Linked DNA regions of Cricetulus griseus. The protein of the gene in region 1 binds, or shares a complex with, the protein of each later gene. Links are inferred from orthologs where the notes say so. Each region holds a gene or a part of one and is shown on either strand. Other genes may lie near its edges.

Region 1 (3,746 bases):
GGGGAGAGGTTTCTACACAGATCATTCAACTCGGGAGGGACGCCTCGTCCACACAGCAGCGTTAGGGGCCACCTCTCCATACCTCCCCCGGGCTTCCCAGTTCTCGTGCCTCCACTCAGGGCCAGACAGAGACACACTTGGATCCCAAGGCACATCACGGATTACCAATGCCCACTCTCTCCGGAAGGGCGTTTTCTGTTTTAATTGTCTCTCTATTCTGAGAAGAGGGAGGGGGGAGGCAGGGAAGGGAAAAGCAAATTTAAAAAAAAATTACAAAAATAACCATGGGTCGCTAAGAGAAGATAATCTTCACAAGGCTGCAGCCAACCCTGCACCTTGCTCCCTCTCAAACGTGCATTTTTCAGTCTTAAGGGGACGTGACTGTGAGAATTCATAGGAGCCGGTAAGGGGGCGGGGGTGGGGGGGGTCCCAGCGCTGGGCGTACACCCGCAAATACCTTCCGGCTCGCTGACTTCTAACCAAAGAACTACATGTTCCTCAGCCGGATAGCAAGGGCTCGCCCAGTCCGCCCCGACCAGCCTGTCCTCCACTACGTCACTCACCGCTCTCCACACCCCACCTTACGCTCTCTCCGCACCGCCCCGCAGAGCCGCACCCCCGCCCCCCGCACCTCCCACCCTCGCTCCTCATTGGCTCAGAGCCCCGCTCGTTTCCGCGGTTGCCAGCGGTAACGCGAGGCGGGCACAATTTCGGTCGCTAAGACGCCCCACTTCCGCTTCCGATCGCCCGGCGGAAAGCCCAGCCCGCTTCGCCCCGACCAATGGAGCGTGGGAGGTAGGCGGGACTTGGTTGGTGTGGACCAAACAGACGCGACCCGGGGCGGCCAATGGGGGTGGGACGGCCCCTGTAGCGTGGCCCGGGAGCCCCCACGCCCTCTCGCGTCCTTCTCTCTCCCCACCCGCTCCCCCGCCCAACACGGCGCCGCCCCGCCCGATCCTGGATTCCGCCCGGCGCTGGCCGCAGCTTGACGGAGACGCCGGGGAGCCAAGATGGCAGCTGCCGACGGCGACGACTCGCTCTACCCCATCGCGGTGCTCATAGACGAGCTCCGCAATGAGGACGTCCAGGTGCGCCCGGGGCGCCCTGCCCTTAGAGCTGGGTCGTGGGGGGGAGACCGGGGACCTGCGGGGCGGCGGCGGAATGCGGGACGGACGGGGAGACAGAGAGATGGCTCCGGCTGCTCCGGGAGTGGCGGAAGGCAGCGGCGGCCAATCAGCAGCCGCGTCTCATCGTGCCGAGGGGCGAGACTCCATGAGACGGCGCTCCTGATTGGCCGTGGGCCCCAGCGGAGGGCAAGCCTCGAGGGTCCCTCCTGGGCGCGCGCGGCCGCCCGGGGAAATCTGTGCCCGGCGGCCCGAGATGGGCTGGGGCAGGGAGCCTGGGGCCGGCGGCCCGTCGGGTGATTGGCGGCGGCGGACTCGGAATGACCCCCCCCCCACCCGGGGGGGCGCGTGAGCCGCCGAGGAGGGGAAGCCCTCCTGGGTGCTGGGGACCTCGATTTCCCCATTGCTCCTCGGTGTTTTCCATCCTGGGCCCCAGGGGTGCTGATAACCAGGGCAGCAGCCCACTCCTCTCGGGCCTCCGCCTCGTATTGATGCAGGAGGAGGGGAGAGGAGGACGTGGAAAGGCATCCTCCTCTCCCGAAATTCGACTAGCCTAATTCAGGGACGGGTCACGTGTGCACACGCCACCCCACCCCACACCCCCTTCCCCAGGCTCGCCCCAGGCCGGACTTTTTGCCAAGGGAGGTGATAGTTCAGGTTGGCGGGAGAAGAGTGACCCAGGCCCAGGGGCTTTTAGTGGGTCTGCTGTGGTTCTGAAAAAAAAAAAGAGAGAGAGAGAGAGAGAGGTCAGACCTCAAGGCCTGAGGATGACCTTGTGTTCACGTTGTTCCATCGCCCCTGGCTTCCGTTTTCTACCAAATACCGGCTAATAATAGTCCTGGCTTACCCCGGTGGCTGAGGAGAGGTAGTAAAATAAAACTGGCCGCTTGTAAAGGCCCCGTAAATGTTAGCTGTTATATTTGAGGGGAGTGGCTTGTTGTGGTACCGTGCTCTGCGGCGGTGCCCCTGTTTCTCCTGGTGGTGCACTGGGTAACCTGAGGCTGCGCCCAGCCTCTAAGTCTCGTGGATATGATTCAGGTTCTGCTGCCAGACAGGCTGGAGCTGTATTTCCGGGCCTTGCACGTTTTGCTGATTGACCCAGGCAACCCAGTGTGAATCTCTTCGGTTAAATGGGAATAGCAACCTGGTTTTAGTGTCGAGTAAACACATGCGGTGTTACCAGGAATGTCATTGTTGGGGGCAGGCGTCGTGGTGCATGCCTGCAATCTCAGCACTCAGGAAGCAGGGGTGGTAGGTTCAAGGCTAGCCTAGTCCACATAGTGACACACTCTGTTGTATCAACAAAGAAACAGGCTGGTTGCTGCCCAGGAGCCAGGTGTGAAACAGGTAAAGAGAACTAAATAAATATACTACCACCTGTGAAAAGGGACGAGACCTGTCGGTGTTGCGATAATGAATCAGCAGTTGTTTGTTGGGCCTGTGTTCTGAGCTGTGCTCTGGGTGTTTGGGTACATCTGGGAGGAAAAGGACAAAAACTGGCCTTGGAAGAATCTACCTTGTAGTGAGGAGTGGCAGATTGTGTTGACTGTGAAAGGTTGTAAAGAGAAAAATAAGGAATATAGGGTGTATTGTTAGAGTAAGTGTGGAGAAGTCTTGTTGAAAAGTTGAGCCGGTACCTGCTTGTGGTCAAGGAAGGAATTGTGGGGTTCTGGGCAGAGTGCATAACATCTAAATGTTGGTCGAGGAATTGGACCAGTTCAGAGACTCCTTCCAGGATGCAATGCTTGAGAAGTTGGGGGTGAGGCTTACAGAAAGAGGGACTATACCTGTGCAATGACTGTAGTCCTCAGCTTGAAGCTATTTTTGCCACCAGGGATGTTTAGCAATGTCTAGGGATGTTTTGGTTGTCATAACTGGGAGATTGTTGCTGCTTTTAATGGGTATGCGTCAGGAATGCTGTTATACATTGTTGTTGTGTATAGGCCATCCCTCATGGAAGAAAAAAAGTCCCATTTAAAGACATTGGTACTAAGGTTGAGGGAAGCTCTTGGATGAAATATGCACCCAGGGATAGTAAGGAAGTTGGTTAGTTTAGGTCATTGTGCCAGTTTTGTAAGGCTTCTGTAACACTTTACCATAAATTTAATAGTATAGAGCAGCATAAAGTTTTATTTATGGTTCTGGAGATGAGAAGTCTGTCATAAGTCTCACTGGGTGAACATGACCTAAGATCTGGCAGCTGATTGATAACAGCCTAGCTTTGAATTCAAGCCACATGGCCTCACAGCTTTCTGCCTCTTCTTCAGCATTCACAGTGCCATCTTTCTGGGGGGGAAAAAAAAGGACATTGTTAACAAAATCAAAATTTTTGAGTGAAAGAACAGCTGCCCACAGGTGGCAGGGAAGCGCCATATTTAGGATCCCAATTCTTATGCATATTTGGTTTTTTGAGGCAGGGTTTCTCTGTAGCTCTGGAGCCTGTCCTGGAACTCGCTCTGCAGACCAGCCTGGACTGGAACTCACAAAGATCTGCCTGCCTTTGCCTCCCAAGTGTTGGGATTAAAGGCATGCGCCACCACTGCCTGGCTAATGCTTAGTTTCTGGTTGGGGGTTCATTGCTTTCCATAAAGTGTCTGCATCAGCATCCTTGCTTTTTAAAAT
Region 2 (3,746 bases), on another chromosome or scaffold:
AAAACAAAATCACTAACCGCGCCCTTATACATCAGAAGGAATTACCTTTTGCCTTTTTCTCCCAACTATAGTCCAAAATTGCACATCGTTCCCCTGAAAGGGGTTGCAATGCTATCTTAAGCCAACATAACACTCTTTCAGCTCTGCCCTGGCGTTCCTATTGTCAGATGCCGTTCTTCCCCCGGCGGTGTGCTGGCGCCGGCAAGGGGCACCCACGCTTACCTCCCGCACACCTGCACTCCCGGGCTCGGGATGCTGGAGAGGATGCTCGGCGGGCTGTGATCGCTCAGGATCCTGCTCCTGCCTCTCTCCGGGGAAACTACAGAGCAAGCAGAGCCTAGGCTTCTACTGAGACTCAAGCTCCGCCTTCCCCTCCTCTAGTTGGCCGGACCTCGGGCTCCGGCTCCTCCCTCTGCCGTTTGCGCAACCCGAGCTGCAGGCGGCGCGAAGCCTTACTGAAGCAAGTGTCTCGGCTCCTGGTTCTCTGTCCACCCCCCCCTTCCCCCCACCGCACCCACCCACCCTGAGTCGCACCTGGAGCTTCTCAGGTCAGGTTTAGCCCCCTCAGTGAGCCGGCCCAGTGTACACCAGAGTGGGCTGTCCTAGGGAGTACTGACGCTTCAGCCCAAGCGAAGCCCACGCCTCACCCTCCCTCCTCCACCCCCCACAGTCCCCAGAGGCTTCCTCGCAGCCTACCCAGGCACCCAACCCAGCTGCCCGTCCCCTGCCACCTCTGGTCCCCCGCCCCTTTCCTTCCACTCATCTGCGAGCCCCGCCCATCAGTGGGCACGGCGTCTGAGGGCCGGCCTTGCCTTCTGATTGGTGCAGGTGAGAGCCGGCCCCGCCCTTCCTCCGTTTCTGGGCGCTCTCCCTCTCCGTCTCCCTTCCTCCCGTGAAGGCAGGGAACTCTTTTCTTATTCGCTACAAGTGTCCCCACCTATCGCCCTAGGCGTTCTTGCGGGTCCTTCTGGGAAATGTGGTCCTAGGTCTGCAGGAAGTGCTGACGGAACTGGCGGGCGGAACTACGAATCCCCATCGGGCCTTGCGCGACTCCGGCTGGGCAGGATTCCGGACAACGCCTGGTTCCTCTCGGGTCCTTCCGGCGTCGCCGGAGTGAATTGATCCGGGAGTTGAAGAGGGCTCCAAAGGTGGGAAGTGAAGTCCGTGCCTCAGTTGCTGGTAAGGCGAGCTTTCTCGGTTCGGGTCCTCACGGCTCCGCCGGGCAGCGAGCGCGGCTTGGGGTCAGGCGGGGGCCGAGGCGGAGACGCTGGGGCTGGGCTCTGGCCGGAGGGCGGACGGGCGGGGAGCGGGGCCCTCTGGGCGTCAGCGAGGTCTCTACGCGAGGTGCGTAAAGCCGGTTTGGAAATGCCGCTTACCCGGCGCGGCCCGGCACCTCCAGGAAGTCCGCTGTGGGTGCGAGCGGAGGGGAAGGGTGAGGTCGGCCTCCCGAGTCCCCGCCGACAGAGGGGGCGGATGTGCTGGGGTGGGGTCCCCGGCAGGTGAGGCTGGAGCTGTGTAAGGCCTGGAGAGAGCGTGGGAGCCCGGGAGTCGGCTCCCGGAGTGACTGGGGTTATGCCCTTTGAGGAAAGAGGAGAGCCGGTGTTGACAGTTCCGACTCAGTTCCAGTTTCCTGATGTGGCCTCTCTAAGGAGGTAACTCTTAACTAGAAGTGTTTGTCCCTTTTAACTCTCATACGTCAGATGGCTTTACTCCTGAACTGTACTCAAAAGCGCTTTCGCTTTGGGATGCTTCTGAGAAAACTAAAGGAGTAAATGACGTGTCCAAGGTCACACAGATCTTCTGAATCCAGTCCGCTGAAAGTCCAGGTTCTGACCAGAGTTGTCTGCTTAGATAGAAAAGTGGGGAGTTGCTTGGTAGGTGCTCGAAGCGGATAAAAGAAGTTGCAAAGTTGAGTGTGCGTCTCAGAAACGTTTGGGAGGTGAAGAGTTGGTTGCTTGGGGTGGAGTGAAATCCTTCCCAAAGCAATCTTCTTTAACGGTTTGTTAAAAAGGGAAGGGTTGTTTTTTTTTTTTGTTTTTTGTTTTTTTTTTTTTTAGCTTAGATATTTACCCTTTTTCCGAAACATACTAAATGATAACACAACTTCCATGAGCCAAAAAGATAGGTAATATTTAGCAATAAGCTCAGCGTTGCCATTAAGAGAATAGTCCTTTCCTGATTTCTGAAACTAAGATTAAAGTACGGATGAAACTTTGACAAAACTTATTTTACACATTTTAATGTTTTCATTGAGTGATAATTAAATGCAGAATCATGGAGAAGTTATAACATGGTCGTTACCTGAAATGGCTTTTTTTTCTGTCTGAGGTTTTTGGTTCTCATTTTCTTCACTCCATGTGTAAGTAGTAAAAACCAGGACTTGTGCATTTTCTTTTTCTTGGCATCATCTGTGACTTTTAATTCATTCTTAATGTTAAAGAACGGGAAAAAAAAGGATGCCTGTATATTGAGTAAAAAGCAATGCACTTGTTTCAAACAAGTTGACTAATTATAGCTGATAGATATTACTAGATAGGTTGTTGATAGAATTGTACTTTTTTATTGAAGACAAGGTTCCTTTATAAGATTATACTCATAAACATGCATATTTATAGTTAGTAGGCATCATATTATGTAAATTAAAATATTAAATACATATATACTGTAAATAAATACACAATATTTTGAATGTTTTGCTTGCCATGATTAATACTAACAATTTATTTGATTTTTTTAATGCAAAACTTTTCTGGGGTCAGAAGAATCTTTGTTCCTCTATGGTTCAACTTAATATGGACTTGTTTTACTCTGACCTTTAAAATAAATGGAGAGGTATGGTATTATAGAATGAGACAGAAATCAGGAATGTAACACGCTGCATACATATAATACACAATAAGGAAGAAGCAACTAAACAAAAGGAAAATTATGTGGGGTTGATTTTGAAGTAGATTAAAATGGTGCCTTAGTTTGAGTGGGCCATATATAAGTCTAAACTTGTAAAGCAAGGATGCCAATATATTTTCTAGATGACTGTGGACATTTGCTGTTTGTGGGAAAGGTATGAAATGAGTTTTAACATAACTTTGTGGTTCTGGAAAGACTTTCTTTTTTAACTTTTTAAAATTTAAATTAGAAACAATCTTATTTTATATATCAATCCCAGTTCCCTCTCCCTTCCATTCTCCCATGCCCCCCACCGACCCCCATCCCATCCCTTTTCTGCTCCATAGAAAGGGTGAATCCTTCCATGGGGATCATGAAAGTCTGTCACATCATTTTGGGCAGAGCCTAGGCCCTCCCCTGTGTGTCTAGGCTGAGAGAGTATCCCTCTATGGGGAATGGGCTCCCAATGGCCTATTGGGACCTAATGGTCCATTAGGGATAAATGCTGTTCCATTACCAGAGGTCCCATAGACTGCCCAGGCCTCCTAACTATTCAGGGGGACTGGTTCCATTCTATGCTGGTTTCTCAGCTATCAGTCTGGGCTCCATGAGCTCCCCCTTGTTCAGGTTAGCTGTTTCTGTGGGTTTCTCCAGCCTGGTCTTGACCCCTTTGCTCATCCCTCTTCCCTCTCTGCAACTTGGATTCCAGGAATTCGGCTCAGTGTTTAGCTGTGGTGTCTGCTTCTGCTTCCATCAGCTACTGGATGAAGGCTCTATAATGGCATGTAAGGTAGCCATCAATCTCATTATAGGGGTTAGAGCATTTAAGATAGCCTCCTGGAGAGAATTTTTTAATCAAA
Region 3 (3,746 bases), on another chromosome or scaffold:
GTAGGTGTGAGCGGTGGGTGTGAGCAGTGGGTGTGAGCAGTGGGTGTGAGCGGTGGGTGTGGGGGATGAGTGTGAGGGGCGGGTGTGAGGGGATGAGTGTGAGGAATGGGTGTGAGGGTAGGGTGTGAGGGGTGGGTGTGAGCAGTGGGTGTGAGCGGTGGGTGTGGGGGATGAATGTGAGGGGCGGGTGTGAGGGGATGAGTGTGAGGAATGGGTGTGAGGGTAGGGTGTGAGGGGAGGGTTGAGGGGGGAGTGTGAGCGGTGGGTGTGAGCAGTGGGTGTGAGCGGTGGGTGTGGGGGATGAATGTGAGGGGTGGGTGTGAGGGGATGAGTGTGAGGAATGGTTGTGAGCAGTGGGTGTGAGGGGCCAGTGTGAGGTGTGGGTGTGAGCAGTGGGTGTGAGGTGTGAGTGTGAGGGGCGGGTGTGAGGGGTGGGTGTGAGGGGCGGGTGTGAGCAGTGAGTGTGAGGTGCAGTCACAGGGTGCAGAGTTGCATTGGCTGCAGTCACAGGGGCGGAGTCAGAAAAGCTGAGTCTCAGGGGCGGAGTCAGTGGGCGTTGCAAAGAGGGCGGAGACATGGGGCGGAATCATAGGGGCGGAGTCAGGGCGCAGTGTGAAAGTGGGTGGAGACAGGTCGGTAGTGATAGGCACAGAGTCAACCATGGGATTAAAAGGGTAGAGTTATTAACAGTGGGGCGGAGTTACAGGGGAACGCAGTTGTAGAACACGTCATTTCCGCCCGGTTCCTGGTACTTGCCTCAGTGGTCAGCACCGCGCATGTGCAGAAGGCTGCTGCTTTTCCCGCACTGCCTCTGGTCGGATCCGGTTCCGAGTAGCCCGGATAGGACCGACGTCAGCGCGGCGATCCCAGGACCACAGGGTGAGCGTGTGCGTGAGCCTGAGGTGACCCCTACTGGTCGGAGGCGACCGAGCCCGTGGTTACCGGCGCCGCTGTGACGACGCAGACGCCATGTTTGTTTATCTCGTCGCGTGGATGACGCCTTCCTAAGTGATTGCCACGCTACGTTGTGACGTAGCACATGTTTGTTTGCGGCACCTATTGATGACGGACAGCTGCGCGACGTTGATTACGCAACGCCGTGTGTACGACCCGCCGTGATGACGCAGGCTCCATGTTGCCACCTACGTTCCTGAGTTTACCGTCGCCATGGTGACCGCAGCGCATGGAGTCATGTTCCCCTCGCAGCGTTGACTTGGCAATGCTCCCGGACCGAAGTCGCTCATGTTGCCCGTGATCGTTTTTGTTTACAGTCACCATGGTTACGTCGCGGCCTCCGCCGCCATTTTGCCCAAGAACCTTTGGTTCACCGTCGCCATGGTGACGCCTCGCCGGTGTTGTCGCCATGTTCTCGGCGCTGATTAGATGACGTATTTTCGCTTGCGCCGCTGTCGGCCATGTCGCCGGAAACCATGTTGTTTACAGTCGCCATAGTGACAGTGCTGCGGTGCCTCCGCCATGTTCCCGGCGCGGCACTGATGACGCGTTGTCCCCTGCGCCGTCGCCGCCGCGCCCGGTTTGAAGTCAGGGCTAGGTGCGGGCAGCGTTGTCTGCGAGTCCGTCCCCGCTCTGACCACTCATCCGCCGGTCCTGCTGTCCCCAGCGTCTGTCCCTCCCTCCGTCCCCCCACACCCCCGCGATGCCACCCGGGAAGCCCCTGCAGCCCGTGCTGCGCATGAAGGTGGACGAGCTCTTCCTGCGCTGGCTCAGCGACCCCGGCACCCAGGACGCCCTGCGGGACGGGCTGCGGCGGCTACAGGAGGCGGGGGACGTCGGCGACGTCATCACCAGGGGCGGTGACGCCATCGGGAGTGACGTCAACCACGGTGACATCACCGGCAGACGCATCGTCAGCAGGAGCGACATAACCAGCGAGAGTGACGTCACCTTCAGAAATGACGTCACCAGAGCTGATGTCATCAGCGGGGACCCCGGCCCCCACCCTGCACCGCCCCTCGGCATAGCGAGACCCGCGAGAGCCCCCAGGAGGACGGCAGAGTGGATAAGGGTGAGCGGGGGGGGGGGGGGGGCGGGGGGGGAGACATGAAGGGGTGGGGCCAGAGGAGGCTGGGCCAAAGGTCTGCGTTGGTTTAATGATATTGGCACATTCCTTACCGTGCAGCGTTTGCGTGTTGTGATGCCCTCAACTCCGTGTTTGGACACTTTAACATGGTCACAGATTTAATATATTTGCGCATCTTAAGACGCTGACACATTTAGCATGTGTGCGTATTTTAACATATGCACATAATTCAGTAATTTGCATATTTTATTCACTCGGGTTTTAATATTTGCATATCTTCATGTACTTGCATAATTTGATGTGCTTGTGTAACTAATATGGTTGCATATTTCAACACGCTTCTGTGTTTAACCGGATCACACATCTTAGTACACGTTTGTGTCTTTATATATTTGAATCAATGTATTTGCATCCTGTGATGTATTGGAAGACATGACCGCTGTACACCTGTCCGCACACACCAGTGAGACACTCAAGAGATGTGCACTAACACACACATGAGTTCCTACACACACACGTGTGCACCTACACACATACACAGGTATACATGTACACACATAAGCACATGTGCATGCTACCACACACACACAATCATAGACACACAGATACAGACACACACATGCAGCAGCACACACATGAAATACACACACACACACACACACGTGCATTTCTGTATACCACCACACACATACAACCAAACACAGACACACACACACACACACATAGACACACAGGGACATGGACACACACACATGTCTGTGTTAACACAGACACTGCACTCACAGAGTGACACACAGAGTCACACATGCACACCGTGAGATGCACAGAGTCACACAGAGACATGTACACACACATGCACACATAGATGCATTTAGACCCACAGGGATAGGAACACGCACGCACATGCACACACAAACCTAGACATAGCGATGTGCACACATGCCTGCAAACACAGACACACAGATATGCACATAAGTGCACAGTCACAGGCACACATACACACATGCACCTAGAAAGAGACTTGCATACCCATGTGCACAGACATATGCAAATATGTACTTCTACACGCCCAAACAGAGACTCACCCCCATACATGTGCACGCATACATACATACTTGCATGAGCACATGCGTGGACACAGACACCAACTGGCGCACACATGTGTGGACCCAGTTGCAGAGACAGACACACACATATGTACAGATGTGAGTGCGCATGCGGGCACACACATGCAGACACGGCCGCACACGCCCACCCACAGAGTCACGTGATGGTACACACATACAAGCACACACATGTAGACACACATGCAGACACGCACCTGGGTGGGTGTGGGCAGGACCTGAGGATGTGTTGAGACCGGCGTCTGTGTGGGTGGGTGTGGTTCACATGGTGGCATGTTGGTGGGGCTGCAAGTAGACCGGGCCGGTGGATTTGGGTGGGGCTCCCGGGACACTGTCAGTCACCACCCCTGACCCCTCCCCCTGTGACCCTGCAGGTGCGGACACAGGAGGAGCCCTCACCGCCCCCGCCCCCGGAAGCCCCGCCCCCCGGCGGCCCGCCCCCTGGCCCCTCGATCCCCGCCTTCTTCTTCCCCCACGGGCGCCCGGGGGCGGGGCCGGACGTGGATTACGTCATCGCGCGGGTGGAGCGTGTGTTCGCGGGGTTTGAGCGACAGAGGGTGGGGCTCAAAGACATGGGCGTG

The links. The genes of interacting proteins can lie anywhere in the genome.
Region 2: Ppp2r1a (region 1) and Pdcd10 share a complex: the UniProt entries of both Homo sapiens proteins name them as parts of the core of STRIPAK complex. The link is inferred for Cricetulus griseus from reciprocal best matches to the Homo sapiens genes PPP2R1A and PDCD10.
Region 3: the proteins of Ppp2r1a (region 1) and serine/threonine-protein phosphatase 2A regulatory subunit B'' subunit delta-like are in contact, whole or in part, in a crystal structure (PDB 4I5N), measured with the Homo sapiens proteins. The link is inferred for Cricetulus griseus from reciprocal best matches to the Homo sapiens genes PPP2R1A and PPP2R3B. Residues at the interface, in NP_055040.2 of Homo sapiens: Leu10, Ile13, Ala14, Ile17, Ala41, Leu42, Arg46, Ser49, Glu50, Leu51, Pro53, Phe54, Asp57, Ile59, Asp61, Glu62, Asp63, Glu64, Glu100, Glu101, Thr102, Arg105, Asp139, Trp140, Phe141, Asp177, Thr178, Pro179, Met180, Arg183; in NP_037371.2 of Homo sapiens: Ser122, Ser124, Ile125, Pro126, Thr127, Phe128, Tyr129, Arg275, Trp277, Ser278, Ala284, Glu285, Arg288, Arg354, Ser357, Gly358, Ala359, Val360, Thr361, Arg362, Gly363, Arg364, Gln367, Lys368, Glu394, Arg398, Asp401, Leu402, Asp403, Gly404.

Annotation. Positions count from the first base shown.
Region 1 is NC_048602.1:19,092,701-19,096,446, reverse strand, and holds the start of Ppp2r1a (serine/threonine-protein phosphatase 2A 65 kDa regulatory subunit A alpha isoform), read left to right. Parts: upstream 1-929; 5' UTR 930-1,010; coding exon 1,011-1,088; intron 1,089-3,746. UniProt on the Homo sapiens protein: The PR65 subunit of protein phosphatase 2A serves as a scaffolding molecule to coordinate the assembly of the catalytic subunit and a variable regulatory B subunit.
Region 2 is NW_023276806.1:78,252,556-78,256,301, forward strand, and holds the start of Pdcd10 (programmed cell death protein 10), read left to right. Parts: upstream 1-1,027; 5' UTR 1,028-1,179; intron 1,180-3,746. UniProt on the Homo sapiens protein: Promotes cell proliferation. Modulates apoptotic pathways. Increases mitogen-activated protein kinase activity and STK26 activity. Important for cell migration, and for normal structure and assembly of the Golgi complex.
Region 3 is NC_048603.1:17,809,492-17,813,237, forward strand, and holds the start of serine/threonine-protein phosphatase 2A regulatory subunit B'' subunit delta-like, read left to right. Parts: upstream 1-1,507; 5' UTR 1,508-1,657; coding exon 1,658-2,026; intron 2,027-3,539; coding exon 3,540-3,746. Other genes in the region: mucin-6-like, read right to left, coding at 1-498, 807-1,056, 1,161-1,278. UniProt on the Homo sapiens protein: The B regulatory subunit might modulate substrate selectivity and catalytic activity, and might also direct the localization of the catalytic enzyme to a particular subcellular compartment.